Linked DNA regions of Rattus norvegicus. The protein of the gene in region 1 interacts with the protein of each later gene in a biochemical or structural test. Links are inferred from orthologs where the notes say so. Each region holds a gene or a part of one and is shown in the gene's direction. Other genes may lie near its edges. The genes, in order: Esr1, Rela, Safb, Mta1, Src, Trim24 and Ncoa7.

Evidence for each region.
Region 2: the proteins of Esr1 (region 1) and Rela form a complex in vitro, tested with the Homo sapiens proteins (3 studies listed by BioGRID and IntAct). The link is inferred for Rattus norvegicus from reciprocal best matches to the Homo sapiens genes ESR1 and RELA.
Region 3: the proteins of Esr1 (region 1) and Safb form a complex in vitro, tested with the Homo sapiens proteins (2 studies listed by BioGRID). The link is inferred for Rattus norvegicus from reciprocal best matches to the Homo sapiens genes ESR1 and SAFB.
Region 4: the proteins of Esr1 (region 1) and Mta1 form a complex in vitro, tested with the Homo sapiens proteins (4 studies listed by BioGRID). The link is inferred for Rattus norvegicus from reciprocal best matches to the Homo sapiens genes ESR1 and MTA1.
Region 5: the proteins of Esr1 (region 1) and Src form a complex in vitro, tested with the Homo sapiens proteins (3 studies listed by BioGRID). The link is inferred for Rattus norvegicus from reciprocal best matches to the Homo sapiens genes ESR1 and SRC.
Region 6: the proteins of Esr1 (region 1) and Trim24 form a complex in vitro, tested with the Homo sapiens proteins (4 studies listed by BioGRID). The link is inferred for Rattus norvegicus from reciprocal best matches to the Homo sapiens genes ESR1 and TRIM24.
Region 7: the proteins of Esr1 (region 1) and Ncoa7 form a complex in vitro, tested with the Homo sapiens proteins (2 studies listed by BioGRID). The link is inferred for Rattus norvegicus from reciprocal best matches to the Homo sapiens genes ESR1 and NCOA7.

Annotation. Positions count from the first base shown.
Region 1 is NC_086019.1:43,770,190-43,773,689, forward strand, and holds part of Esr1 (estrogen receptor), read left to right. Parts: intron 1-525; coding exon 526-861; intron 862-3,500.
Region 2 is NC_086019.1:212,352,928-212,357,135, forward strand, and holds the start of Rela (transcription factor p65), read left to right. Parts: upstream 1-1,408; 5' UTR 1,409-1,469; coding exon 1,470-1,476; intron 1,477-2,062; coding exon 2,063-2,089; intron 2,090-2,180; coding exon 2,181-2,332; intron 2,333-2,487; coding exon 2,488-2,636; intron 2,637-3,508; coding exon 3,509-3,600; intron 3,601-3,926; coding exon 3,927-4,058; intron 4,059-4,208. UniProt on the Homo sapiens protein: NF-kappa-B is a pleiotropic transcription factor present in almost all cell types and is the endpoint of a series of signal transduction events that are initiated by a vast array of stimuli related to many biological processes such as inflammation, immunity, differentiation, cell growth, tumorigenesis and apoptosis.
Region 3 is NC_086027.1:1,503,269-1,507,456, forward strand, and holds the start of Safb (scaffold attachment factor B1), read left to right. Parts: upstream 1-1,388; 5' UTR 1,389-1,482; coding exon 1,483-1,671; intron 1,672-4,188. Other genes in the region: Safb2 (scaffold attachment factor B2), read right to left, coding at 613-783. UniProt on the Homo sapiens protein: Binds to scaffold/matrix attachment region (S/MAR) DNA and forms a molecular assembly point to allow the formation of a 'transcriptosomal' complex (consisting of SR proteins and RNA polymerase II) coupling transcription and RNA processing.
Region 4 is NC_086024.1:137,998,647-138,002,714, forward strand, and holds the start of Mta1 (metastasis-associated protein MTA1), read left to right. Parts: upstream 1-1,268; 5' UTR 1,269-1,365; coding exon 1,366-1,393; intron 1,394-4,068. UniProt on the Homo sapiens protein: Transcriptional coregulator which can act as both a transcriptional corepressor and coactivator. Acts as a component of the histone deacetylase NuRD complex which participates in the remodeling of chromatin.
Region 5 is NC_086021.1:166,554,688-166,558,457, forward strand, and holds the end of Src (proto-oncogene tyrosine-protein kinase Src), read left to right. Parts: intron 1-384; coding exon 385-564; intron 565-1,422; coding exon 1,423-1,499; intron 1,500-2,026; coding exon 2,027-2,180; intron 2,181-2,287; coding exon 2,288-2,419; intron 2,420-2,689; coding exon 2,690-2,898; 3' UTR 2,899-3,270; downstream 3,271-3,770. UniProt on the Homo sapiens protein: Non-receptor protein tyrosine kinase which is activated following engagement of many different classes of cellular receptors including immune response receptors, integrins and other adhesion receptors, receptor protein tyrosine kinases, G protein-coupled receptors as well as cytokine receptors.
Region 6 is NC_086022.1:67,642,335-67,645,834, forward strand, and holds part of Trim24 (transcription intermediary factor 1-alpha), read left to right. Parts: intron 1-229; coding exon 230-403; intron 404-2,212; coding exon 2,213-2,348; intron 2,349-3,500. UniProt on the Homo sapiens protein: Transcriptional coactivator that interacts with numerous nuclear receptors and coactivators and modulates the transcription of target genes.
Region 7 is NC_086019.1:28,673,178-28,677,458, forward strand, and holds the start of Ncoa7 (nuclear receptor coactivator 7), read left to right. Parts: upstream 1-1,481; 5' UTR 1,482-1,905; intron 1,906-2,424; exon of another isoform or gene 2,425-2,687; intron 2,688-4,281. UniProt on the Homo sapiens protein: Enhances the transcriptional activities of several nuclear receptors. Involved in the coactivation of different nuclear receptors, such as ESR1, THRB, PPARG and RARA.

The DNA of each region.
Region 1 (3,500 bases):
AGTGTACACAGAGACACATGTACACATATATTCACATATACATACACATATATACATATGCATACATGCACACATGTACACACAGAGACATATGTACACATATACATACATGTACACACATACATACATAAACACATAAAATACATACACAGATACATAGACACATGTACACATATACACACATGTTCACATAAAATAATACACGGATACACACATATATATGTATATAAATATACATAAACACACACAAAAGCATACACATACACATGTGCACAAACACAGACATGTATGCACAGATAAATACACATGTGTCATACATATATGTGTACACATACATATATATGCTTACACATACTCATATACATACATATATACAGACACACATGTGCACACAAAATTACTTGTATGTTAGAGACAACTACTACTCACTCATAAAATTCTATTGTTATATTCCCAGGAGCTTGTTCTGAGATTGACAGGCAAAAAAGGTAATCAAATTTGTTCTTTATCCTTCTGTGATTTCAGGGATACGAAAAGACCGCCGAGGAGGGAGAATGTTGAAGCACAAGCGTCAGAGAGATGACTTGGAAGGCCGAAATGAAATGGGCACTTCAGGAGACATGAGAGCTGCCAACCTTTGGCCAAGTCCACTTGTGATCAAGCACACTAAGAAGAATAGCCCCGCCCTGTCCTTGACAGCTGACCAGATGGTCAGTGCCTTATTGGATGCTGAACCACCTTTGATCTATTCTGAATATGATCCTTCTAGACCCTTCAGTGAAGCCTCAATGATGGGCTTATTGACCAACCTGGCAGACAGGGAGCTGGTTCATATGATCAACTGGGCAAAGAGAGTGCCAGGTAAGAATGCTAAACTCCACTTCCATGGAAAGAGTGAATAACTTTTCAACAATTGGGTGTGGTAAGGTGAGGGGGGAAATAGAAGTGTGCTATGTGATTAGAGAAAAGGCTGTATTAGAATTTGTCAATTGTCAATATAACCTACTGTATTTCTCTTGATACCTAGGAAATAGCCTTTAAAATTTAAAAGTAAACACCCAGCAGACTAAAACCTTAGGCATACTGTTTTTGGCCAGTCTTCTTTGCTCAAAAGACTTGGATGAACACTACATACCACACACATATATGTCCTGTCATGCAGATATCACATATTAAAAATACTTAATGCTTGGGGATCTGTGGAATTGTTTTTATTTCTAATGCTATCATTCAAAACACCTTTATTGAGAGGCAGTTTGTCCATATGTAATCCTTCACCAAATATTGGCGTACACTAAAGGCCGATAGTTTATTTGTAGAATGCCAATTATTTATTCAACTTGTTTCCTGCATGGGATGTCCAGAGAAACAAAGACACAGTGGTCAAACCAATGCCAACAACGTCCTAGGGAGCATTTAGAAGGTTCCAGAAGCTGGAGCGATGCTCTACCCCTCTTATTGGTCTCTCAAGTGCTGCCTTTATGGCTCTTGAGTGTTCTTGTTTAAGGAAAAGGACTCCAGTTATGATGGAAACAAGACCGTCCCATGCCTCAACTAATGGATTTCATATGCGGAAGTCTGTGCCGAAGCAACAGAAGGGTGGACTCTTGTTTTCTGGCTTACAGATTAAGTCAATGGGGGATGTAAATATAGAGCTTTTTCTCCTTGGGCTTCAATAGATCTGTGACATGTGGGATATTTTATCCATTTTTATAAAACTAAAATGCATGTGGCATTTTGGGCCTTGATTTCCAGAGTCACTGACAGAGTCTGAGTTGATGGGGATCTCCCCTTGGGGAATCTTAATGCATTTGCATAAACCCACATATAAACATGCTGTTCTTTGAGTAAGAAGGCAGCAATCCATTGAACCAAACTGACTACAGGGCATCCATCTAGGTGGTTGGGTAAGTAGGGTACGTAGAACAAATTTAAGTTTCGAGAATCGTTCTGTTGGACAAAAATTCTTGGCCATCTGAAGAGCTAAAAGTTTTAATTAGCACCTAGATATTTTAGCATTGTTTTGTGAGGCAGATACAGATACCTCAGGATTGGAATTACATAAGGATATATGTTTTTCCTTGAAGTTTGTGTCTGTTTTTATACTTTGAGAAGAAAAGAAAAGAAAAAGAGAAACCACAAGAGATTTAATGGCCGTACCCATGAGAACCAGATCTGGGCTGCTATTAAGTTTTTATTATTCTGTAAACATATCCCTTATGAGATCCTGAAAATTCTTGTTCCAGAGCCGAACTGTGGGTATATGCTGAACCCAAGCATATTTTTTTATTTTTATCTTTATTTTTAGAGTTACACCTTAACATTTTATGATTGATACTTTGTTGTTACTATTGTTGTTTATGTCAGGGCGCTTGCTGGGTAGTCCAGGCAGGCCCTGAACTTATCTTTCTGCTTCTGTCTGAACGAGTTCAACTATATTACTCATTGATGGAAGATTCAAGAAAATAGCCTCAATTTAGGATTAAAATAGAAGTCAAGGCTAAAAAGATGCCATTTTCGTGTTAGCTAATTCATTGTTAAACTCAGCATTAGACATGTGTGATGATAACATATGTAACAAAACTACTCTCAAATTTCTTTACGCTAATCAAGAGGGCCCAATATCTTTGGGTTAAACTATATTTTGTGAATTGGTCCCTTAGAAAAAGGAATTATAGAATCATAATGCAATTATGTACAGTCATGTGCCCTGTAACAACATTTTGCATAACAACAGGCCTTGTCAATAGAGTTAGGCCTGCATGTTCTATAGGTTAGAGCAAGGGCAGGTGTCATTGTTGGTGGGTCTGTGTTTAACATGGGTCAGTTTGTAGAGAAAAGCAGATCCACACAGGCATGCATTCCTCTGATGTGTCACTGTCATGAAGAGACACAAGGCTTTCTGTTTCTCCATTTCTCCATCTGTCTATTTCTCTTTGTCTATTTCTGCCTTTGTCTGTCTGTCTGTCTGTCTGTCTGTCTGTCTGTCTGTCTGTCTCTCTGTGTATGTGTACCATTAAAATGCAGCTTTGTAAGTGCAAAGCCTACTTATCTAGAGGAAATGGAATGAAAATAGCCACTGATTTAAAAAAAGGATGAAAAAAAGAAGAGCAGACCTAATGCCCTTAGGATGAACTCTGAAGATGACTGTGGAAGTTTGCAATGAAAATTTTACTTTCAAAAGACTTTATATACCCAAATACCTCCGTCATTTAGAAAGATAGTTTACACTGACGAGCTGGTATAGGGAATGCCACATTTATGATAATTTAGGAATAATAATGGCAATTTCAGAAAGGGAAAGAGAAACATGGCGAGGTAGAACAACAGCAATGGAACCAGTAATGTGATTTGGATTTGAGAGAGGCCAAAGTGGTTTTTAGGGAGGACTTGGAGGGCAGAAACAGAGGTTGGGGGAAATGATGTAACTGCACTGTACTCTCCAAAGAAATAATTAAAACATGTACACAACAGGAGGTAAAGAAAACACTTCAATAAAG
Region 2 (4,208 bases), about 170 Mb from region 1:
TGAACTTCTGACCCCATGAGTACTGGGATGACTGGAACATCCTAGACCTAGGAATCAAACCCAGAGCTTCCTTCAATGTTAAGAACTTTCCTGAGTTGCCATCTCTAGCCCTTATTTTTCAGTAAGTACACTCATGTTCATATTAATTAAATTGCAACTATATGTCAGTTTTTAAAAGTGGTTCGTGCGAGGATCAATGATGGCTGTGTGCCATTAATCGGAGACCATAATTCATTCTGTCACCTTGATGTCCGCCCCCGCAAAACATTAAACTGCTTTTTCTAATCTGCGCCAAGTGAGAAACTGAAATGAGTGGGAGGGGCGGTAACTATTTTCACTTTTGTCTTCCTGTTTTTTTCAGAGCCTGGGAAAGAAGTCAGAATTTCCAATCTTTTCCAATTCCCACATGATTTCCTAATTTAGAGAAAATAAGTCTTTCTCCATGTGCTAAAGCCTCCTCTGCCCCCCACCCCGCCTCCTCCTTCTGGCATTGTGGAGGGAGCCTGATGTGTTGATTCCTCCAGCCAGTGTCCCCAGACTCAATCTGCACACCCGCCCTTGGCTTAGATGGCAATTTTCTCTCCCTACAAAAGCTTTCATCACTGGAGCTCAGGCTCCTGGGAGGCCTTCAAGGAGATGCTCAAGTGGTGTGACCCTGGCTAGCTCCGGAGATCCCTAGGGATCTGAACCTTAGCAGACAGGACCTATCTGTGGAGGCGAAGCCCTGGAGCTCTTCCAGCATTCATTGCTCTCAGGGACTCTTAGAGGTACAGGTGTCTACCTCGGTCCCCTCTACACCAAGGCCTCAGTCAAGCCTTGATGAAGCATGCTTTGGGAAGCACTCCTGCGCGCAGCCGGATCTAGGTTGGGAGCATATGGCCTGTAACGCGCGGCGGTCCCCAGAAGGCCCTGCACGAGTAGGAAAACGTGTGGAATTCAGTCACTGTGCTCCGCGGAAGCAGCAGGCCTGAGCCTCTCCTTGTGCAGGGCGAATGGCCGCAGCCTGCCAGCAGCCCGGGCTCTGCTCCAGACCAGGCCAGGGTGACATCACCAAACTCTTGAGATCAGAGCGGGGCGGGGAACGGGACCCGAAATCCCCTAAAAACAGAGTGAGTAATCGCGGGCCCGCCCTCCAGGCGGGGCCCGGACACGGAGCGAACCGCGCTGCGTAGTCCGGGAGCGGCTTGCAGTCGGGCGGGCCTCAGGACGAATAGCCTCGGCGTCCTACCGCCGCGCTCCGGTGTCCCCGCCCGCGCGCCGCACACCTTCCGCGCCCAGCGTGAGTTGCGCACCTGCTCTCGGCCCCCACGCGCGTCGGTGGCGGCGGCGCAGCGCGCAGGCGCGGCCGGATTCCGGGCAGTGACGCGACGACGGGCGCGCGCCGCGCATTTCCGCCTCTGGCGAATGGCTTCGCTTTAGCGCGCCGTGGGCTCAGCTGCGACCCCGGCCCCGCCCCCGGGACCCTGGCCATGGACGGTGAGGCTGCCCTCTGGCCCGCGGGACGGCTGCCCTAGAGTTCCGGGACCTGCGGCGGGATCCCCCTCGCGCCGTCTTCCGCCCCTTTCTGCGCCGCGGGTTGCTGCGCAGGGAGCGGCAGGCCGGATGGTGGCACGGGGCGGGGCGGGCTGCGAGGGGTCTGACTCAGTTGCCCCTCTCAGTGGAGGGCGCCTTGACTCAATGTCCCTCCTGGGTGGGAGTACGGGTGAATCTTGACTCAGTTTCCTCCGGCTTCCCCCCCCCACCCACTGTGTCGATGCGATTAGTTCTGGCTTCCTTTCCGTGTAAGGGAGAAAGTATCTGACTCAGTATCCCCCGAAAAGGAGAGGGGGTAGAACCCTTCCTCAGTGTCACTTATGAACGTAAAACAGGCTCTGACTCAGTTTCCCCGGGCAAAGGAATACCTCTGTGCCCCTTTTCTCTAGTAGAGAGATGCTTTTGCCTTCTTTACCTGGCCTCTTTCAGGGCAGGTCTTAGGATCTTGGCTCAGTTTCCTTTGGAGGCATTCCCTGGTGAGGGTGGGTACTGGAGTTTATTGACAGTGTGCCTTGTCTTTCCCTTTCAGATCTGTTTCCCCTCATCTTTCCCTCAGGTAAGTGGACCATCCTTCCTCAGTAGGTAGGGGCTGTCCTGGAGTAGGGGCCATGGGGGCAGCACCTAATGGCTGACCGTATCACCCACAGAGCCAGCCCAGGCTTCTGGGCCATATGTGGAGATCATTGAGCAGCCCAAGCAGCGGGGCATGCGTTTCCGTTACAAGTGCGAGGGCCGCTCTGCAGGCAGTATTCCTGGGGAGAGAAGCACAGATACCACTAAGACGCACCCCACCATCAAGGTAAGCAAGAGCCCCCAGGGGTGTCGGGGTGGGGACACAGATGTGGTGGAAGGCACTGTGGAGCCCCAGCAGACTTGCCTCCTTGCCACCGCGCCCCGTGTCTAGGAGCCAGATTTGGGATTGCTGGCCTCTAAAGTACTCTGTACTTTGGACAGATCAATGGCTACACGGGACCAGGAACAGTTCGAATCTCCCTGGTCACCAAAGACCCACCTCACCGGCCTCATCCACATGAACTTGTGGGGAAGGACTGCCGGGATGGCTTCTATGAGGCTGAACTCTGCCCAGACCGATGCATCCACAGGTGAGTCTGAATAGATAGGCTGGGGGTAGTGTGAGGTCAGGGTAGGTAGGGGGCAGGGTAAGAGCAGGCTGGGCCAGGCAGCTGTTACAAAGTTACACTTTTCTAAACACTGGCAGAATCCAGAGTCCTTGCTCTGTCCCCAGGTCTGCAAACAGACCCCCTTTGTCTTAAATTCGCTAACAGATGGGAACTCTTTATCTTGGAGCGACAGATCCTTTATGACTGGATAGCCCAGTCCCTTAGGCTCTTGTATCAGAAAGTCCGTAATGGACTCTCCTAGAGCTTAAATACCAGTTGGTAAAACCAGGGGACAGTTGTACAAACAGATAGAAAAGATACTAGTGGAGAATTATAATTTCCATGATGAAAAGAAAACACAGTAATAAATTAGAAGGAGGAGGAGGCTGGTCTCGTGGCATAGGGACAGAGTCTCATATAGCTGAAGCTGGCCTTGCACTCATGAGGGTTCACCTACCTCCTCTTCTCAACTCCAAGGGTAATAGGCGCGTAGCACCATGTCCTGTTACGTAGGTCTCATGACTTTGGGTTGGAAGATTGCAGAAGGCCTCTGTGCTAACACTCAAATGGTGAGAAAAAGCAGACAAGCCCAAAAGAACATTGCATGCACAAGAAAGAAGTATGGTGACCTGGAAAAGGGACTAAGTTTAGTGTGCTCAGGGACGGGACAGGAAGGCCCTGTGGCTGAGGCTAGGACACTGACTTGGGGGCTGGTGTGGGCCAGGTCCCTCAGAGACTCGCCAGTGGGTAAGGAGTGGGTTCATTGTAGCACAGTGGGAAGCCTTGAGCTGTGAGCTGAGGAGTGGGAAGAGGGTGTTCTTTTGGAGACACAGAACTAATGCCTGAGGCCTCAGCTTCCAGAACCTGGGGATCCAGTGTGTGAAGAAGCGAGACCTGGAGCAAGCCATTAGCCAGCGCATCCAGACCAACAATAACCCCTTTCAAGGTAGGAGCAAGGGGCAGGACATAGCCTGCCTGTGGTGCACATTCTGCCACCTTCCCTGGGCCTCTGGCGCTCCTCACCCTCCATGACCAACCCAACAGTACAAGTGGAACCTCGCTGCCAGCATGGTACACACTCACATGCTACCGTTGAGAGTCAGGCCTAGAAAGGGGTGGTGTATTCAGGTCCCAGTAGAGCCGTGATGGGTCTAGGATTTTGTCTTCCTCCCCTTAGACTTCTGTTTTATATATCCTCAAATCACCTTCCTCTTCCCTCAGAGCTCCCTGCCCTCCCCATGCCTTCCACCACTTTTTTTTTTTTTTTGACAGTTCCCATAGAGGAGCAGCGCGGGGACTATGACTTGAATGCGGTCCGCCTCTGCTTCCAGGTGACAGTGCGGGACCCATCAGGCAGGCCCCTCCGCCTGACCCCTGTCCTCTCGCATCCGATTTTTGATAACCGTAAGTGGCCAGCTGCAGTAAGGGGAGAGGGTGGGCTTGGGAAGAGAATGGGGCTGGGGTGGGTGTGGCCTTGCTGCAGGGGGCAGGGCAGAGAAGACCCAGAGCTGCCTCTGTGGGAAGCTTGCAGGATGCCCTGGAGTTGGATGGGAA
Region 3 (4,188 bases), on another chromosome or scaffold:
CTCATGGGGGGAGGCACTGATTTTTGACAAAGAAAAACAGAACACAGGCTGGGGAAGAAAGCAAGCTGGCAAATTTTCATTAAAAGTATTTGGCTCCTTCCACTTGCAGCCAACCAGAAGGCCCTAACTCTCAAGGACCCTATTCCACGAAGACAACTTTGTTGTCAAGTGCACTAAACGAGACTTCTCTAGGGCAGGACAGTGACATCTCATGCTGACTCAAGATGACACCTAGGCTCCAGGCCAGGGAAGTGCAAGAGGACCAGAACTGGGAGTGAGCATGGTCTGTGCAGAGGCACTGAGCAGACCCAACCATGGGGTTGACTGACAAATTCTCCAGAACAGTAAACTGAGGTGGCAGAAAAGACAGCTGCAGATGCAAGGTCATAGAGAAGTGCCCAGGGCCACCCTATTGCCTCGCTTCTTGCAAACCCCAGGGCAAATGGGAAGCAAGGCACAGAGAGGGATAGCGGCTGGCCAAGGTCACATAGCCTCGGCTCCCTCGGTGGCTGACAGCACAGACCAAAATGGGGTCTCGAGGTAGGAAACCCCGCCCGACTCTGATAAACCAGTTACGTGCTCGGGCGAACGGCGCCAACCGCATTCCCTCACCTTCTTCAGCCGCTCCATCAACACACTCTTGTTGCCTCCTGTATCCAGGTTCCGCTTCTTCAGCTCCGCCCTCAGGTCGATCACCCGCAGGTCGCTGAGCCGCCGCATCCCACTATCCGAAGCGACCGGACTAAAAGCCGGGTCGCCCGACCCGGTCACAGGTTCTGCCATTCTCGCTTCCGTGACTTCCCAACCCCGCTCCGGAACCTCCTACACTCGCTGCCCCCGGCTGCAGAGGCTCTGAGTACAAAATGGCGCCGCCTTAGAGGAAAACGCACTGGTTTCCTCCCGCCTCTCATTGCGGCTGCGCAGGCGCACGGCTCTGACGCACCTCCTAGGTCGCACACCAAAGCAGTCTCTAGCCTCGGTGGTACAAATGCACATGCGCAACCGGTCGTAAGCCCAGCCCCTCTTTTTATGCGCACGCGCATCGCTTTGAAGCGTCTAATGGTCACAGCCCTGATTTGCATCTTGTAGCGCTTCTCCGTTGCGCACGCCACCGCTCAACGGTGCTCGGACACCGATTTGTCGTTTTCCCCTCAATGCGCAGGCGCATGACCTGTTGCACGCATGCGTCGTGGTCCGTGGACAAGGGAGAGCCGGAGAGATGCGCCTGCGCCTTCTCTAACGACGCGCTCACGGCGCTTGTGTAGAGGCGTCTGAGAGCGTCCGTCTCGCGCCGGCGGCGCCTGCGCAGTGTCGAGGTGCACCTCAGGGGAGGCTGAAGCGGTTCCCTCTCAGGCGGCGCCATTTTGTGGTAAGAGGGCCGAGATTCAAAAAAAAAAATAATAACAAATCCAAAAAACACACCCACGCAAGCCCACTGACCCGGTTCTGTGTGAAGTGGGCGACGGAACCAGGGTCCCTGGAATGGCGGAGACTCTGTCGGGTTTAGGAGACTCGGGTGCGGCAAGCGCAGCGGCCGTGAGCTCCGCGGCGTCAGAGACCGGGACGCGGCGGCTCAGCGACCTGCGGGTGATCGACCTGCGGGCGGAGCTGCGGAAGCGAAACCTCGACTCGAGCGGCAACAAGAGCGTGCTGATGGAGCGGCTTAAGAAGGTGAGGTTCGCGGGGGACCCCACGGTCGCCATGGCGACACCCACCGCCTGGCCTGGAGCGGCCCGTGGCCTTCGTGCCGTGCGCTAACACTCGGGCTCCGTGGGCGCGGGGTATGAGGGTTCGAATCCCGACGCCGCAGTGATGCGCCCAGAAGGAAATAACACCGTGAACGGGTTCGAGGGATCGATGACATCGCGTTCCCTGTACTGCTTAGCCCCAACCCTAAAGGGGGATGGAGGAGACTCGGCCAAGGTCACCCAGCAGAGTCAGCTTGTGGCAGGATTCGATCCCAAGTCCCTTTTCGGCTCCCGAGGCAGAACAGGTGGTTTTTGTTTTCTATTCTTTTCTGGAGAGACAGTGGCCTGTAGGGGAATGAAATCTGAGGAACCCTCAGAGCTCATAGACAGCCAGAGGAGGTAGGTAGCCCAGGAAGGGAGGGGGGGAAAGCCGAAAAATAAATTGTTTCTAATTCTTTGCTAGAACTAAACTAGGGTAAAGATGTGAGATGGAAGGAAAGAAGGTCTTTCTGTTGGTAAAGATATCTCAGATGTGAGTTAAAGGCTAACCTGGGCTATAGAGGAGTTTATAACCAACCTGAGTAGTGGAGTTCAGGGCTAGCTAGAGGGTGTCCCAAACCAGACACCCTCTAAGGGACAGGAAGTGAGAGTTGTGAGACAAACCTAGGCAACTTAGCAAGCCTGTTTCAAAGTATAAAGTAGGCTCCAAGGCCTAGTCATTTGGTAGTGTGCTTGCCTTGCATACACAAAACCCTTAAATTTTATCCCAAATACCTCCTAAGGCTGGGAGTGGTGGGGGCAGAAGGATCCTAAGTTTGTGACCATCTTGGGATGCATGAGAGCCTTTCTGTAAAAAGTAGTAGGTTTTTGTTTTGTCTCTGTAAAAAGAGGGCTAGGCACATAGATCAATGCTTGCCCAACATTGCAGAGGTCCTTGGAGCCATCCCTCCACACTGCTGCACACCATTCTGTGTGGTTAGGTGGGAGTCAGAGGACTTAGCCTCAGTCTGAGATCCAGGGGCAGACAGAGAGGCTCATTTTTGTTACCTTCTTTGGTGGCCTAGATTCTCTGTTCAGGAAGACCTTTAAACTCTCTGTGTGTCCTCAGATCAAGGCAGTAGTGGGTCATCTTTAGGGTAGGGAGGACATCACATGGACCCTGGTTTGGCATGCAGCTTAGTCCAGGTAAACAAGCTTACTCTCCTCAAGGCCACCTTTTGACATGTGTAGATGAGGACTCTTGAGCCCCACCTTAGAAAGTGTACTCTGTGTGTATTACCCTCTAGCTTTTGGTCGTTGGCATCTGCCTAATTGCCCCTGCACACAGAAGCTGGAGATTTCACCTTTTTTTTTTTTTTTTTTTTTTTTTTTGAGCTGGGGACCGAACCCAGGGCCTTGCGCTTCCTAGGCAAGCGCTCTACCACTGAGCTAAATCCCCAACCCCGAGATTTCACCTTCTTAATGGGTCCAAAACCAATCACCAGTTGCTATTCAGATAATGGACAAGAAGAGGTGGCAGCAAGATGAAAGCCTGAGTTCTGTTCCCAGCACCCACAATAAATGCCAGGTGGGGTACAGCTGTAATTCCAGTGCTCAGAGAGACAGGAGGATCCCTGAGGCTCACTGGCTGACTAGTCTAACCACGATGGATGGTACCTGAAAGACAGTTGAGGTTGCCTTCTGTCTTCTACCCTGTGGATGTGTACAGTGTTTATTTGAGCACATAACATACATGCTTGTGAGAGTGGATGCAGCAGTTAGAGGCCAGGGCAGGCACACTACACTGAACGTCAGCCAGCTCCTTTTCTGTTTTTGTGTGTGTGTGTGTGTGTGTTTTAATGGATACTACATCTTTTTATTGGAATGGGCAAGAAGCTTCTTACACTGGTGACCCCTATAGAACATATAGGGTGGGGGGGGTTACTAGGGTGATGCTCAGTCTGCTATCGAGGCCCTGGCTGCAGCACCAAGCTCTCTTTCTCCAGACTGGAAGCTGAGGGTCGGCTTCTGGATGTTGTCTTCTTTGTCCCCTTGGGGGTGTAGAGAGACCCTGGTCTGTGCTTGCCCCCACTCAACACCCCTGTATGTCTATCAGATCAGAGGGCAGATCTGCAGTCCTGTCCTTCTGCCTGCTTGTCACCCAGCTGGTGGCCATCTGGTTGACTTTTTTTTTTAAGGGAGGTGGTGTGGAGGAGCAGCTGTTGAAGGGGGTTTGCTGAGGTGGCCTGGGAGGGACAGTTCTGTCTCTTAGCCCCAAGGGATAAAACGAATTACCTTTCTACAGCTTGCTCCTGCCCCTTGGGATGTCTGAAAGCTGACTCACCTTGTGGGCTTGTCTCTGGTTCCCTATTGGAACACTACAGGAAGCCCCTGGGGGTCTGGAAGAGTTGCCTGAGCTTGGAGTTCTGAGGGCACTGCTGCTGCTGCCTTCTCTCTGGGGACTGTAAACTTGCAAACATCCCCAGGGTGAAAGGCATGCTGCTGCTAGAAGGTGTCTCAT
Region 4 (4,068 bases), on another chromosome or scaffold:
TCCATTGTCAAAGCAACTCACAGTGCTCAGGCTCAAGCAGGGCCCCCAATCAGCTCCTCCTGACTCCCCCAATTGTGGCAGGGCCAGGATTTCCATCAGGGACACCACCTTTTGTCCTCTGGCCTCCAGGTCATTTCTAAGCACTCCACTCTTCACAAATCTTAGACAAGCACAAAGGCAAGCCCATAGTCACAAATGCTTCTAAATGCTACAAAGAGGGGCCTTCGTCAACTGATGCTGAAAGATGAGGGACACACTGAGGACCCTTACAAGACTTGATGGGTGAAGGGAAGGGCTCACACAAGAAGGACTCAAGGGTACTTTGTAAGCAACTCCCAAGGAGCCCTAGGAGGGCTCACCTCAACAGGTTTGTGAGATCAATCAGGTGTGCTGAGGGTCATTCAGGAAGTTGTTCTCTGGAGGTCACCTGGGTTGCAGAAGACTAGGTGGGCATGGGGCTTGGGAGGGTCACCCATGGGTGCTGAGGGTCAGGAGGGAATGGGCCTGGAGAGGACACCTGGAGAATGCCAAGAGTCATTTGGGGGGCTGGGAGAGCCTCCCAGGTATGCGAAAGACCATATAAGAGGGCCATCCAGGGATCTGAGGAATACTGAGGGTTAAAGACCGGTCACCCAACGGGTGCTGAGGTCCAGGCAGGCTTGGGCCTGGAGAATGCCACTGGAGGAAGCCAAGTATCATTCCGGAGGGGTGGCAGAAGAGCCATCAGTGATGTCTAGGGCCACTCTGGACAGGTTGCAGGAGTACTTCCTAGGGAAACAGGGTGTGGGCCTCCTGAGGACCACCTGGGGATGCCAAGGGCCACTCCAGCGGAGGCTTCGAAGAACCTCCCGGGATGAGTAGCTGGATGCTGCGGGCCAGGTGGGAGAGCCACACGGGGATGTTGAGGACCACTTTGGAGAGGATACAGGAGGGCCACCCGGGATGCCAGGGCCAGGCGATGGCCACCCCGGGATGCTGAGAGATAGGCGGGAGGGGTCGTGGGAGGGCGATCAGGGGATGCCGAGGACCAGACGAGCGAAGGGCTCAGAAGGGCCACTCGGCCAGGGGCGCGCGGGCCGGCGCGGCGCGGGGTCGGGTAACGGCCCGCGCGGTGGGCGGCGGCGCCCGAGGCCCCTCCCCGCCGCCCGCGGCCGCTCCTCCTCTTCCTCTCCCGCCCGCGCCGCGGCCCTCCCGTCCCTGCGCGGCCTCGGCGGCCTCGGAGGCGGCGGCGGCGGCGGCGGCGGAGCAGCGCGGTCCCTTTAAACCGCCCGCCGGCGCCCCCGCGCCCGCCCCCGCCCCGGCCCGCGCCCGGCCCGCCGCCCGCGCCCGCGCCCCGCGCCCCGCGGCCCCGCCGCCGGCCCGGACATGGCCGCCAACATGTACAGGGTCGGAGGTAAGGCCCCGCCACGGCCTTTATGCGCCGCGGGCCCGCCGCCCGCGCCTCCCGGCCCCGCCGCGGCCTCCGCGCCTCCCCCACGCCGCCCTCGCGCGCGGCCCGCGCCCCTCCCCCCCGTCCCGCCCCCGTCGCGCTCGCGCCCCGCCCGCGAGGCTCGGTTCTGGTCTTCGGTGCTCGTCCCGGCCCAAAATGGCCCCTGGGCCGCCGGTGCCGGGGCGCGCGCGCGCGGGGGGAAGAGCGGCGCTGGGAGGGGGCTATGCCCACCTGTTGGGGGCCGGGGGTGGCCCGCGGAGTAGCGGCGAGTGGCCAGGGCATCCCCGTGGCCGGCGGGCCCGGCGGCGCGAGGCCTGGGCCTGGGTCCGGGCCGGAGCCCCTGAGCAGGAGCACGTGCCTCTGGAGCTCTGGCTGCGGTCCCGCGAGCAGGAGTTTGGGGGTCGGGGGGCGAGCGGTCTCCTCTGGGGCCGCACTGAACCCGCTAGGTGTGCAGGCACCGGGAACCTTGTTGCAGGGGCCACAAGCTCGCCCGGACCGAGGGGCTTTCCTTAGCAGGGATTCCTGGGAGGGGGGGTTGGCTACTGCAGGGGGCCTACATCCCAAGTGCAGGTCTGAGTCACCCCAAACTTTTCTCTGCCCTACTGCTCACCCTAGCCTAGCAAAGGAGGCACTTTACTAGCCTTTGGAAGGCCAGAGGTCCCTACTGACCTGGGGCCATGAGGGCCTTTCTGCCCGGGCTGGACCCCCTGTTGTTGGGCCCTAGGCAGCCCTTCCCCCAGTTTGTGTGTATGACCAGGACACTCTGGGATGGCCTTGCACACATCCAGTCCATGCTGACCCTTACAGTTACTTCATCCCATAGCCTTCTGCTCTTTGTGGACTTGGAGACCCTCCTTCTGGTCACAGCCTAAACGTGGATGGGTCCCTGCTCCCCCACTAGCAATGTTGGGCCCTGCTGTGTGTGTGCAGGAGTGGGAGACCACCCAGAAACACCCGTCACCACTCCTGCGGGTGACCCTGACCCTCCAAGTGCCTAGGTCTTTTCCTTCCATCTCACACCAGCGGGACCCAGCCAGCTCAGTTCTGTGGCTTTGGGCACGCAGATGGGTCATCCACCCACCCACAGCAGTCCCTCTCCTGCTACAGGGCACAGCCTAGGGTGTTGAGGCCCTGTGAGGAGGGGCTGGTCCTTGATGTTTCAGTCTTGCCAGTCCCGGAGGGAGTGGGCCACAGCACTGGATCCTGTAAGCTTTCTGGCCCGCTTTCGGGGGGGGGGGGGGGGGGGGCAGGGGTGTCTCTGCTTTGCTCCTGGCACCCCAGGTGGCCTTTTCCCAGGTGCTGCCCCTTACTGTGCCTGGGGAAACCATTTTTGCATTCAGATCCCCCCTTCCTGTTCACTGTGAAGTGCTGCTCCCTCAGCCTCTACCTCTGCTTCCCTCATTTCAAAGGTCCTCCTTTGCCTGTGAAAGGCTCCCATTATCCCGGTCCCTGGCTCTGTTCTTTCTCTGGATTTAGAGACCCTCCTTCTGGTCACAGCCTAAATGTAGATGAGTCTCTGCTCCCCCACTAGCAAAATTGGGCTCTGCCATGAGTGTGTTTTGGAGTGGGAGACCACCTAGGAACACCTGTCACCACTTCTGTGTAGGACCCTGACCACTGAGCCACCCCCACCTGCACCCCCAGTTCACAGCGTTTCTGGCCCATGATGGCATATGATGTGTTGAAGAAATGAATGAATAGCAGAAGTAGAGGTCTGGGCTCCTGCATCGGACTCAGGCAGTGGGAGGTGGTGAGAGCGAGGAAGATGGCCTGCAGGACACTGGGTTCTCAGCCCGTTTCTAAGAGTCCCACAGCTGCCTGCCAGCCTGACAGGGCTGTAGCCAGGGCCCTAGCAGGCTGGGAAGGAGGTCCCAGACTTTGGCTCACTTGTATCTGTTTGCCCACGGCATGGCTAGGGATCCACCCTTTTTTCATCCTGTGTCCTGCGGCTGCTCCTCCAGGGCATAACTGGTGTCCTGGCCTGTCCGAGGTCCCATGAGGGTAGGTGGCTGGACCCTGAGCCTCTGCTTATGTATGGTGGGAGCAGGGATAGGTCTGTATTTCTGTGTATGTTAGCTGGCAAGCATGGTCTGGGGTCCCACCTGTATTGCCTGGAGTGCCTTGCAGTGTAGCAGTCCCCGGAGGGTATCTATGGCAGATGAAGGCTCAGCCCCTATAGGCCTTTTGGATAGAGAACTCTAGTGCCATCCTGGGAGTCCCAGCAGGGCCTTGCGGTGGTGCTCTGGGTGTTGGCTGTTGGCTTCCTGCCCCAGTCACTGCTTGCCAGATTCTCAGGCCCCCAGACGAGAGGACACACTGTGGCTCTCTGAGCAGGCCTTGGTTCAGTCTGTTGTCTGGGCTCTGGCCCCCTGGGAAATCCGTTCAGAGGAGTGACTGGTGGGGACCTAGGTTGGGATTTCTCTCCCCCTGCCCTACCCTCTTGGCACATGCAGCAGAGAAAAGTACAGGATGCCCAGTCAGGTTTAGATTTCAGGAAAACTGCCGTGCCCTAGTGTGAGTGTGTCCCAGCTGTGGAGGCCATGTGGACACTGAGGACTGTGACTTGGAACACAATGTTGGGCGTCCTGTATTCTCTGGCAAGCTTGTCTGGAAGCCTTGTCAGGGTGGACTGGGCTGGG
Region 5 (3,770 bases), on another chromosome or scaffold:
CCTGTCTAATGCAGCCCAGGTGCTGAGCTGACCTCTTGTCCACTGTGACCTCAGACACAGCCCTCCCTCTCCACTGAGCCATGTTCTGGTTGCTGGTGCCTGGAGCACTGACCGCCCACCCATCAGGCTGCCTTCTTCCTGGCAGCATTCCTAATCAATCAACATCCTAGTAACAGTTACTGTTCATGAGCAGACTCCAGCCCCGGGAGGGGTCGCCATTCCTAAGTGGGAATAGAGTCTCAGTGTAGTGTCTGGCCTTGCCCGGGCCCATGCCATGAGTTCAGAGGCAGGGATTGAGACAGACACCCATATGGGCTAGCCTGGGTGGTCCCAGTGTGACATAATGGTGGCCTGTGCTGATGTTGCTATGCCCCTCCCCCACAGGGACCTGGAACGGCACCACGAGGGTTGCCATCAAAACCCTGAAGCCAGGCACCATGTCTCCAGAGGCCTTCCTGCAGGAGGCCCAAGTCATGAAGAAACTGAGGCATGAGAAGCTGGTGCAGCTGTATGCCGTGGTGTCAGAAGAACCCATTTACATTGTGACAGAGTACATGAACAAGGGTAAGGTCTGAGCCCAGGCTGACCTCTGCTCAGATGCCCGCACGGCAGACTGAGGGTAACTTATTCCTTACCCCAAACCAACCAGATGAGTGGACAGCTGTGTCAGGGACTGCCTCTCTCCTTTCGTAAAGAATAACAAATCAACTATTTTTTCCCCTAAAAGACGTTTCTTTTGTCCCTTACCACTGACAGGATCCCTGTTGTTGCTGGTGTGATGGCACACACCTATAATCTCAGTGCCCATGGCTCTGAGGCAGGAGGATCTTGAGTTTGAGGCCAGGCCGGGTACATAGCAAGACTGTCTCTGTCTTGGCAAACAGCGGTGTGGGGCTGGGGGTGTAGCTCGGTTGGGAGAGTGCTTGCCTGGCATGCACAAGGCCCTGGGTTTGACCTTAGGTGTGATCTCCAGTACCACAAGGCTAGGCATAAGACACAGACCTGTAATCCCAGCCCAGGGGACGTAGAGACAGGAGGATCCAGAGTTCGAGGTCGGCCTCCGTTGCACCTTGAGTTGGTTTATGTGAGACCCTGTCTCAGAACAAAACCATGTATAGCGTCCACATTACCCCAGAGTTCTCTGCTGGACTTAGTGATGTGACTCAGCCCCAGCCCCAGGTAGCCACTGGCTCTCCGGTGCGGCCCTGATAAAGCAGTTTCTCTCGGGCTTTACACATAATCTCTTGCATCTTACAACCCCTGTTGTGTTGTCTGCCTGACCGCCTCCCTACCCGCCTTACCACAAGTCCTTGCTCTAACTCCCTGCAGTGTTGGCCTTTGAGCAGGGGGCCAGGTTCTGGGAGCCACAGTTTCCTGCACAGGGAGACTTAGACAAGGCTAGAGCTGGGTCTCTCTCTCCAGGGAGTCTGCTGGACTTTCTCAAGGGGGAAACGGGCAAATACTTGCGGCTACCCCAGCTGGTGGACATGTCTGCTCAGGTGAGTCTCCTCCTCCACCTTCCTCCACCCTTAGCTCTCGAGACCAGAGCGCCCCCTTCAGGAGATCTGCCTTCATTACACCAGAGTCTCACCTTGCAGGTGCCTGGGGTGGTACCTGGGAGTCAGAGGGGCACAAACACGTAATGAAGAATAAAAATAAAACATTAAAAGTTTAAAATGTACTACTTCCATTTGCTAGATGAGGAAACCGAGGCTCAGAGAGGGGACTTAGGACAACAGGCAGGATCTAGCACGCCCCTGTGTCTGTGGGGCCTCCTTTTTTATATACTCACCTGCCCCCCTGGCTGCGTCTTATTGTGACCTCCCATTGTCCTTTGCTCTCCCCTCCCCCACTGAGCTCCGGTCTACTTTTCAAGCCAGCGCTGTTTATTTTAAGCTGAATGAAGTTCCTTGCTTGAACAGACACAGGCTAGGCAGGGTGTTTGAGTGACCAGCCCGAGGCACCTGCTCACAGCACAGGGATGGGTGTGGTTAGCCCCTGAGCCAGGCTCTCTCCGTCTTTACAGATTGCTTCAGGCATGGCCTATGTGGAGCGGATGAACTATGTGCACCGGGACCTCCGAGCCGCCAATATCCTGGTTGGCGAGAACCTGGTGTGCAAAGTGGCCGACTTTGGGCTGGCCCGGCTCATAGAGGACAACGAATACACAGCTCGGCAAGGTGGGAGTGCCTGGCGGTTATCTGATGGTATCGGTCTGTCAGGTGGGAGTGAGAGCAATGCCCCTGCAGCAGACTGGTATCGATAGCCTGTGCTTTCTTGCTTGTAGGTGCCAAATTCCCCATCAAGTGGACCGCCCCTGAAGCGGCTCTGTATGGCAGGTTCACCATCAAGTCGGACGTGTGGTCCTTTGGAATCCTGCTGACTGAGCTCACCACTAAGGGCAGAGTGCCCTATCCTGGTGAGGAGCCTGTACCTGTGCCCCTGACCTTGGCCCTAGGGCAAGCCTCACCACCACCACCCCAATGCTCCCCCACATCACCCACCCCTGGGCTTCCTCTTTCTAGGCTGGATGTGTCTGTCAAAGAGGCTGATCTCTGATCACAGGCTGCCTCTGGTCAGGACTCTTAGCCTCCAAGGCAGTGTTCTGTACAGCATAGGGTAAAAGTGGTCTAGGCTGTGCCAGTCTCTGGAGCCATCTCCTCATAGCCCTCTCTCTGTTTGTTCATAGGGATGGTGAACCGAGAGGTGCTGGACCAGGTAGAGCGGGGCTACCGGATGCCTTGTCCCCCCGAGTGCCCTGAGTCCCTGCATGACCTCATGTGCCAGTGCTGGCGGAAGGAGCCTGAGGAGCGGCCCACCTTCGAGTACCTGCAGGCCTTCCTGGAGGACTACTTTACGTCCACGGAGCCGCAGTACCAGCCCGGGGAGAACCTATAGGAACTGTGTGCACAGAACTGTCACCTCTAGGCTTTTGGGTGTCGCCTCCCTTCATCCTCTCTCTGGGGCTGAGTTCCTCTGCAATGCCCCTTTTGGAGCATGGAAGGGCTTCAGGGACGGGGCAGCCTGGAAGGACAGGTTGAGGCTGGTACAGCGACTGTCCCACGCCTGCCATGGCCACAGGCTCTCTGTGCATTCTCTCTGGAGTCGGCCTGCTTCATACTGGGTGACGAGCCGAGCTGGGGGCGGTTTTCCAACCTCAACCCACTCTACCCACCTGGCTCCTCCCCACTTTCTAAACCCTGGGTCTGTTTCAAGCTGGCCAAAGAGCCTTTCCAAAGAGGAATAAGGCCCAGCCCTTGGCCTATATGTACTAACTGCCCCTGGTCATCCTTGTTGGAGGCTTCTGGGTGGAACATTGGGTCTAGAACCCTCTCCCATGGCTCTCAGGCTAGACAGCCCAAGACCCAACACCAGTTGGGATAAGTGTCAGAGTGAGCACTCCCTCAGCCCTGTCCTCACCAAGGACCCTTGAGATCACCAACACATTACCCTCATTTCTCTGTTGGAAAAACTGAATCCAGGAGGGGCTGGGACCTGTCCAAGACCACGGGCAGTTTCGGGTTGAGGTGGGCTTGGCACCTGGTGCTCCCTCTGTCTTCCTCAGGAACTAACGAGAGCTGTCCTCCAAGGGAGTGGGCAGGCTGAGGCCCGAGAGTGGCTTCAAGTTGTCAGGGTTCTGCTCTCACTGATGCTCATGGGTCTATCATGGGGGAAGAGGCAAGCAGGAGGCTGAGCCCGGCGTGAGGGGTAGGAAATGACGGTGTGGAAGAGGTGCGTCACAATGCAGCTGGGCTTTGACCTTAAGAGCT
Region 6 (3,500 bases), on another chromosome or scaffold:
GTTTTTTGGTATATGCTAGTTATTTTTTGCCAGAAAAAAAAGGCTTATTTGTTTTTTGGTATTATTACCACATGTGTGTGTACACACAAAATATGCTTCCCTTTCTCTCTCCCCTGGTTCTTTCCCTTCAAAGGACATTTGAGCTGTAATGATAGACTGTCGCCTCTGTCTTTGATATGTGCAAAGAGGGTCTATTTACATTTCTCATTATTCTGTCTTGGTACCGCAGTGGCAGATCAGCAGTGGACAGGCTACGCCTACAACTGCCAGCAGCTCCTCCTCCACTCCTTCCAGTCCCACGATCACAAGTGCAGCTGGGTACGATGGAAAAGCTTTCAGTTCACCCATGATTGATCTGAGTGCACCAGTGGGAGGGTCTTACAATCTTCCTTCTCTTCCAGATGTAAGTTTATGTAAAATCTGTACTAATAACCTCCTCTGAAAATTGGCAGTAAATGTGGGTTTAGTTTAAGGTATGGGTTTATTGGTTTATCAGCTATTTCTGAAAGCTTAGTTTTATTCTTTAGAAATAAAATGTGAGTAAAATTAGAAATTCTGAACATTTGGACATACAAAGGAATGTTTTCTGGGCTCTGACGTTGAAGATGTTTGCAGAAGATGTGCCATGGAGTCGAGGCTAGGAAGTGAGCTGGAAGGCTAGACTACTGTCCAGAGGAGAGAGTGGGGAGTAAGAGCAGAGCTCAGGTCAGTTCCTGAAGGGTAAGGCGTGCAAAGCTACAGAAAAGGCAGGACACCAGACCTGTCTACTTGAGCATATTAAGAAATATAGTCAATCTTTAGGATCTTTAACTTTGACAAGGGACTTGGAAAGCATCTTTCTAAAGGCAGAAAGTAACAGTGTTGTGTTGCTGGCCTCTGTGTGGGTCTGTGCCTGTACACATATTGTGCCTACATGAATGCTTGATGCCTTTGGAGGCCACAAGAGGGCATCAGATCCCTTGGAACTGGAGTTACAGACTGCTGTGAGCTGCCAGGCGGGTGCTAGGATGAAATCCGAGTTCTCTGGAAAACAACTGATGTTTGGTTTTTTTCCCAACTGCTGAGCTGTCTCTCCAGCCCTGCTTTTTCCTGCCCTGCAAGATTAGGAGGTCTCAGTGTCATGAGACACATACAACCAAGTATGAAACATTTACACTTGTGAAGGTTTTCACACTTTAGTTGGAAGGAATCGTGTATTAGATTAAACTTTTAATTTTGTTTTAATTTTTTTTCAAGTTCAGATCAATTATATTTCCTAATAAGCATATTATTAATCTTACTAGAGTCATTTCAGTTTTTATAGTGCATATATTTTAAACGGGTAGAGCATACTTTTTTCTTGCTCTTATCAGACATAGGAAAATAATTTAAATTAAAAAAAATTGCTTTTAGGATTATTCCACAATATAAATTATTTTTATTACATTAAGAAACCCAGTCCTTTATGCACTGTCCAGAAATTATTGACTAAAGTAGTACCTAAGAATAGTCAAGTACAAATGACCTTGTCTGCTTCCTGTCCCCCAGGCCCCACTACCATAAAAGAGAGAATCCATAGAAAATGAAGTTTCCTTTCTTTTTTTCTGCATTATTTCATTATGTACAGTCTGTACCCTGGCTTTAGGGCACAGTTCTCCTATAGAATCCCAATTGAGAAAGACTACAAAGAACGTGAAGGAATTGTACATGTTCCTGGGAAGTGATTATTTAGGCAGAGGGAGGGAGGGCGGGTGGGCGGGCGCAAGCACGTATGATGTGGTGCATCTGTTCTCAGTATATTTACCATGGGTAGAATATAAAGAGTAAACTTTAATTTCTTGATGGGGAAATCGTCTAACAGAACTTCTTTTGGGTTCTCTTTTTTTTCTTTTTTTCGGAGCTGGGGACCGAACCCAGGGCCTTGCGTTTGCTAGGCAAGCGCTCTACCACTGAGCTAAATCCCCAGCCCCTAACAGAACTTCTAAGTTTGTATTACTTGAGCCCTTAGTCTCTACACTCCAGAGGCAGAAGCCGGCAGATTTATGGTAGTTCCAAGATCAGTCTGGTCAATAAATTGAGTTCCAAGATAGCCAGGGCTGCACAGAGAAGCCTTGTTTCTCTCAACAAACAGGAAAAAGATAGTACTTGGGATCCAAGTTTTCTTGTAAATTTACAGTAGTAGTTTTTAGTTTTCAACATTAATTTGCCCTGAAAAAATTTCTTCTCTTGGAAGATTGATTGTTCAAGTACTATCTTGTTGGACAATATTGCAAGGAAGGATACAAGTGTAGACCCTGGCCAGCCAAGACCTCCATCAAACAGAACCGTGCAGTCACCAAATTCATCAGTGCCGTCTCCAGGCCTGGCAGGTAAGGCCACCTTTTGGATTCGCAAATGTTTTCTGGTTTTTATTTATACTTTTACTCATAATGATTAAAAGTTCCTCTTTGCCTCACTTTTGATGTATTGGGGGTGGTGTCTGCCTCAATTTTTAAATGATGGTTATTGTATCTTGGTTTTATTTTATATATATTTATATGTATTTCCACATCTGTGCCATAGTGCACATGTGGAAGCCAGAGGACAACTTGGAGTTGATTTTTCTCCTTCCTCTAAGAGGGTGCCAGGCTTCAATGCTTAGGTTGTCAGACTTTGTGATAAGGGTTTTAATCCACTGAACCCATTTCACCAACCTGAGTTTTTTATACCATGTAAAACTAGAATTCTTCACAAAGAAGGAAACTTGGGTTCTTTTTTTAGTTTCAGCAAAATTTATTGGCATTACAGCAACCAAAGAGCAAAGTTTTATCACATTGTCATTAATACATTTAGTTGCCTGTATATGGTCTCTTTGAGAATGTAATTTGCCTAGCTTCGCATTTTATTAGTTAGGATACAAAAGAAGAGAGCGGTCTTGGTGGCTTGTGTTTAGCTGTATTTAATGGTGTTTGGTGTAGGGAGGTAAGGCGATGGCTCACTGGACAAGGGCACGCACTGCTCCTGCAGAGGACCATGGCTCTGTTCGCAGCGCCCTCATGCTGGCTCACAACAGCCTGGAAGTTCAGTGCTTGGCCTCCCTGAGTGTTGCATGCACATGGTACACTTACGCGTATGCAGGCAGACCAGTCGAGTCACATAAAAGTCAATCTTTTAAAAAAAAATCATACTTTAATATTCTTAATTGATTGCTATAAGAAACACGGGAAATACTATTCCTGGAGACTTGATATAGCAGGTGTCTCTTGTGTGGCATCCTGGAGAGACATAGACAGATGCATCCAGGTAATGTGCTGGTGACAAGCTAAAGCAAGAATTGCGCTCAGGTCTAGCCTGGAGAATCAGTGAGCTCACCACACCCTGCCAGTGTGGTTGGTAACTCAGCAAAGAGGGCCCCGAGGCTATCTGCACAGTTTGCAGGCCCCTCTAAGAGAGCTCTTCTGTTCCAGCACTTTCCTACATAAATATTCTGACTTTCTGAATCTTGACTTCTTCAGCTTCCTGAATTTTGAAAAATTTCATTA
Region 7 (4,281 bases), about 15 Mb from region 1:
TACTGGATAATGAAGATGTAGATGACGTTAATTCTGATTTCTGTGTGAAGACAAGACTCAGATAAATTGGTCAATACTCAGTCACAAAAGAGAATGACCGACAAATCTTTAAATTAGAAGCAACTCACCCCCAGCCATGGGAGCACCAGCCCCTGTTCTGTTCAGACTTTCACTGTAGTGACAAGCTATAAGTTGCATGCAATCCATCATGTAATCCCAGGGGAGCCAATGAAGACAGTGCCGTTGTTTGCCATTGCTTTGGAAAAGCTCTGGAACACTGCATCAGCAAGTCACCCCTTTAAACACATACTCAGTTATACTTTTGCCTAAGAGAAAAGAAACCAAGGCTTATTTTACTTCCCGACAGAACCCTTGGGATTAGGCACAAAGGGGTGCTGATGGAGTTAAAGAGTAGGAAACGGTAGCTGCAGCTCAGTGAAGAGCTCCTGGAGAGACTGCACTCAAGGTTCACACACTTGGTTAAGCAAACAGCAAAGTTCTTGTCCTGAGTGATTTCAAGATGTTTTCCATAACAGCACTCTGTACGTCTTCCTTCCCGAAATTAGGTCATTCTGAACTGGGGCTTTAGATTCACCAGCCATTCTCAGAACAGAACTGAATCACGTGCCTCTCCTCCCAAATACAGCTCAGACCCTGCTCCACCCTGACCTCCTAGGGGTTACCCACCTCCCCCCGGAAAGGTCAGCTATCTTATCATCGAAGTGTGAACTTGATATGATTTTTCCTTTCTTTTTAAACTTTTACTTTACTTTTTGAAACAGGGTGTTTGTTATACAGCCTAGGTTAGCATTTGAGGTTGGCCTTGGATTCCTTAACTTCCTAACTCCACCTCCCAAGAGCTGGGGTTACAGGGCTATGTCACCATTCCCGTGTGTGTGTGTGTGTGTGTGTGTGTGTGTGTGTGTGTGTGTGTGTATTCCGATATTTATTTTTACTAAGCTTAGATTTCAAAATCACAAAAGCACTTATCAAAGAATTGTGAGACCATCACCATTTCTCTGGAGGCTTCAGGCAATGGTTTTCTTTTGATACAAATAGAATCATGTCTATATTTTAGGAACCCATTTTTTTTTCCTTTGCTAAAGGCTAAATCATTTGACTAAAAGGTGTCTAAAGAACAAGAAGTCTCTCCTATTCAAAGCATAAATACGTAAACCTGATGTCAGAATTTATAGATGGTGAGTGCAAAACCAGGAAGAGATTTCATATTTGCACGACTGTGTAACATCACCTGCTCCTGAAATCTCAAAGGCAGACGGTTCGGTGCTTTGCTCCACCCTCCAGAGAGACTGGCAGTACCAAGAGGCAGCAGCAACCTGCGGAGGCCTCTATGTACTGTGTGTTGATGGCTTGGGACACACCAGTTACACACACACACACACACACACACACACACACACACACACACACTTTTTCTTCCTGTATTTAAGAGTGATCTTCACAACCAGATCCTCCGAGTCATCTTGCAGTGATAGCCACTGGACTGTAAAGGGAACAGCGTCCAGGTTGGAAGCTCACAAGCAACAGGCCCCTGGGCTCATGCAAAAACCTTCCCACTGAGCTGCTCTCCGGCCCCAACCAAGAGCCGGCTGGACTGCCCAATTGCTACATTGCATTGCCTTGGCTATAAGGATCAAATTTAGCAGCTTATAGGATGTTGTACCGGGGACAGGAGAAAAAGGAGACGGTGGGCCCCTTTGCCAAAGGAAATGCCGGAAAAGACAGAGGATGAATTTATGGTTACCCCTGGTCCTAGCGCTGGAAGGGAAAGGAAAGGGACTTTAAGGCTCCGACAGGGGCTCTTCCTCCAGCTGTGCGGATAAACGCTAACTTCCCTCCAAGATTCAGCCAGTAGCCAGCTAGAGGGATGAGATTAAGTGCCAGGTAAGCAGACCATTCCCCGTTCACAGAAAAGATGACCGTCGCCTCGGGCGGCGTCACAAAGGGCCCGGGCCTGCGGAGGCCGCGCGCGCATCTCTCTGGGGCGGAGCCGCCGGGCCCAGGTTTGGGGTGGATCCGAGCCACCTCGGGGCTTCCAGCCTGCGGCTCGGAGGTCGCACCGGGCAGGCAAGATGCCGCTGCTGCAGCCGGAGCCGCTAGGGCGGGCCTCTGAGCTCCCGGATCCCCGCCGCAGCAGACCAGTGCAGCGCGCGCCCCGGGTCGGGCGGAGCTAGAGGCGGGCGCCGGGCGGGCGTCGCGCCACCGCAGCTCCCCGCCTTCCGCTCCGTGCGTGCCCCGTGCCTTGACCGTGGGTGCCGCTGCTGGCACCTGGGCGAGGCTTCGAGCATCCCGGCGGCGGCTGCTCCGGCCAGATCAGCGCTCCGGAACCCCTCAGGAGCGCTCCTCGCCGCCTCTTGCTGCTTCCCTTCGCTCCTCCTCGGCGAACGATCCCGCCCCCCCCCCCCTGCCCCCGTCCTTTTCCCTCCTCCCACACGGGAGGATGCGCTCCCCAGCGCCCGGCGGCAGAGGCCACGGCTCCCAGAAATGCGTGCGCCCGAGCCACTTCGCCCGGACCCGCGGAGCCCGCGCCCCCGCCCAGTAGGTAGGTGGCCGAGGCGGGGCCAGGCCTTGGAGGCTACGGGCTGCTGATGCTGGGGCCCGGACGAACCGGAGCGGCTGCCAGCCGCAGCCAAACTTGCCCCCTCCTGGGCTGCCAGCGCTCCGAGGTGTGCTAATGGCGCTGGGCGCAGCCCCCGAGGGACCCCAGACGCTCTGCTTGGAACGTTCGAGGCGCAGGGCCGCTGGACCCTCCTCGCCAACAATCTGGGGACCCTTGGTTGGAGGCTGTGGGAAGCTTGGAGGGATAGGTTGGCGCTGGTCTTCTTTGCGAGGAGACCGTTGCCTTTTTCACGAGCTCAAGTAGACTGTGTCATTGCATTTTTAAAAAAGCAGGATCAGCAAATGCGTTCTTTCTCTCCTTTTTGCTAAAAATGTAGACGACCACGATTGCTGTTTTAGAGGTATTTAGGAGTGGTTGTGGATTTTTGTGTAATTTACAGCTAGCCGAGTGGTGTATAAAGTCAGAGGTGCGAAGACTTTAACATTTTGGGTGCCAGTTTAAGGAAAGTCTTTCCAGAAATCAGATTACCTAAGTGATGGATGAGGCTGGCGTGTTCCCTTAAGCTGGCGGGAGCCTACGGGTTTGAGAGCTGCAAGTTTGACACAGGTGTCGGGGAGTTGAGACTCTGAAAGATGTGCCTGTTAGCCAGCAGAGGCAGCCTTGTCTCCAGCCTCGCCTACAACTCTGAGCTGATTCCTGCCTTTCTGAGAAACTGGTTGAGTCTTTCCCCCACTGTTCTTGAAGTAAAATTCATAGATTGGGGCTTTTATCGAAATTGTTACTTCTCAGGCTGCCGTTTTGGATTTTACATTAAGCAATAAGGTTTAGGGTTTTGAAAAAAAGGACCATTGTAAATTCCAATTTTGTAAGCACTATTTCAGATTAGGGATTTTGGCGAACTGAATCAATATAAATACTAAGAGGACAGAATCACCATCATTATCAGTTCCTCTTCTCCCCTCCTCCCCTTCTTCCTCTCCCCTTCTCCCCTTCCTCCTTCACCCTCCTCCCCTTCTTCCGCCCCTCTCCTTCTCTTCCTATTCTGTAATTCCCTAGTGTTGGATGCTTTATAGCTGTTTGTTATTCGTTGAATGAGTGAAAATTGTATTTCAAGGTAATTGTATATAACCCAATATAATTTAAAATTATAGTATGTGTTGTTGTTATTTGCTAGTACAATTAACTGTATTCTTAAAACTTGCCTCTTTCTATAAACAGGCCAAGCTTGGTCATTTTTTCATTGACATTTCTGGCCTCAGCAGTAAGGAAGGCAGTTCTCTGTTTAGGATCACTTTGTGCCCACTTTCCAGTGTTATAGCAATCGATACCGTTTCAATTGTGCTTTCTAAAACAATTTAGAAGGCAGACTTTATGGTCAGAGAAAATTCTTAAGTTATTTTAGAAGGAGCAGCGATCTGGTTAATAAGTAACAGGTAACTTGTCTTAAAGTTGAGCTGTGGTATATATATGCATATATATATGTACACACACACACATATATATATATATATATGTATATATATAATTAAAGCTAAAGATGAAAAGAAAACCTTTAAAAGCGTCTGTGGTTCCAAAGTGACCTCACATATATCATACAGATACAAATTTATTTTCTTTCTCACTTCCTCTCCTCTTCTCTTCTCTCTCTCTCTCTCTCCCTCCCTCCCTCCCTCCCCCCCTCTCTTTCTCTCTCTCTCTCT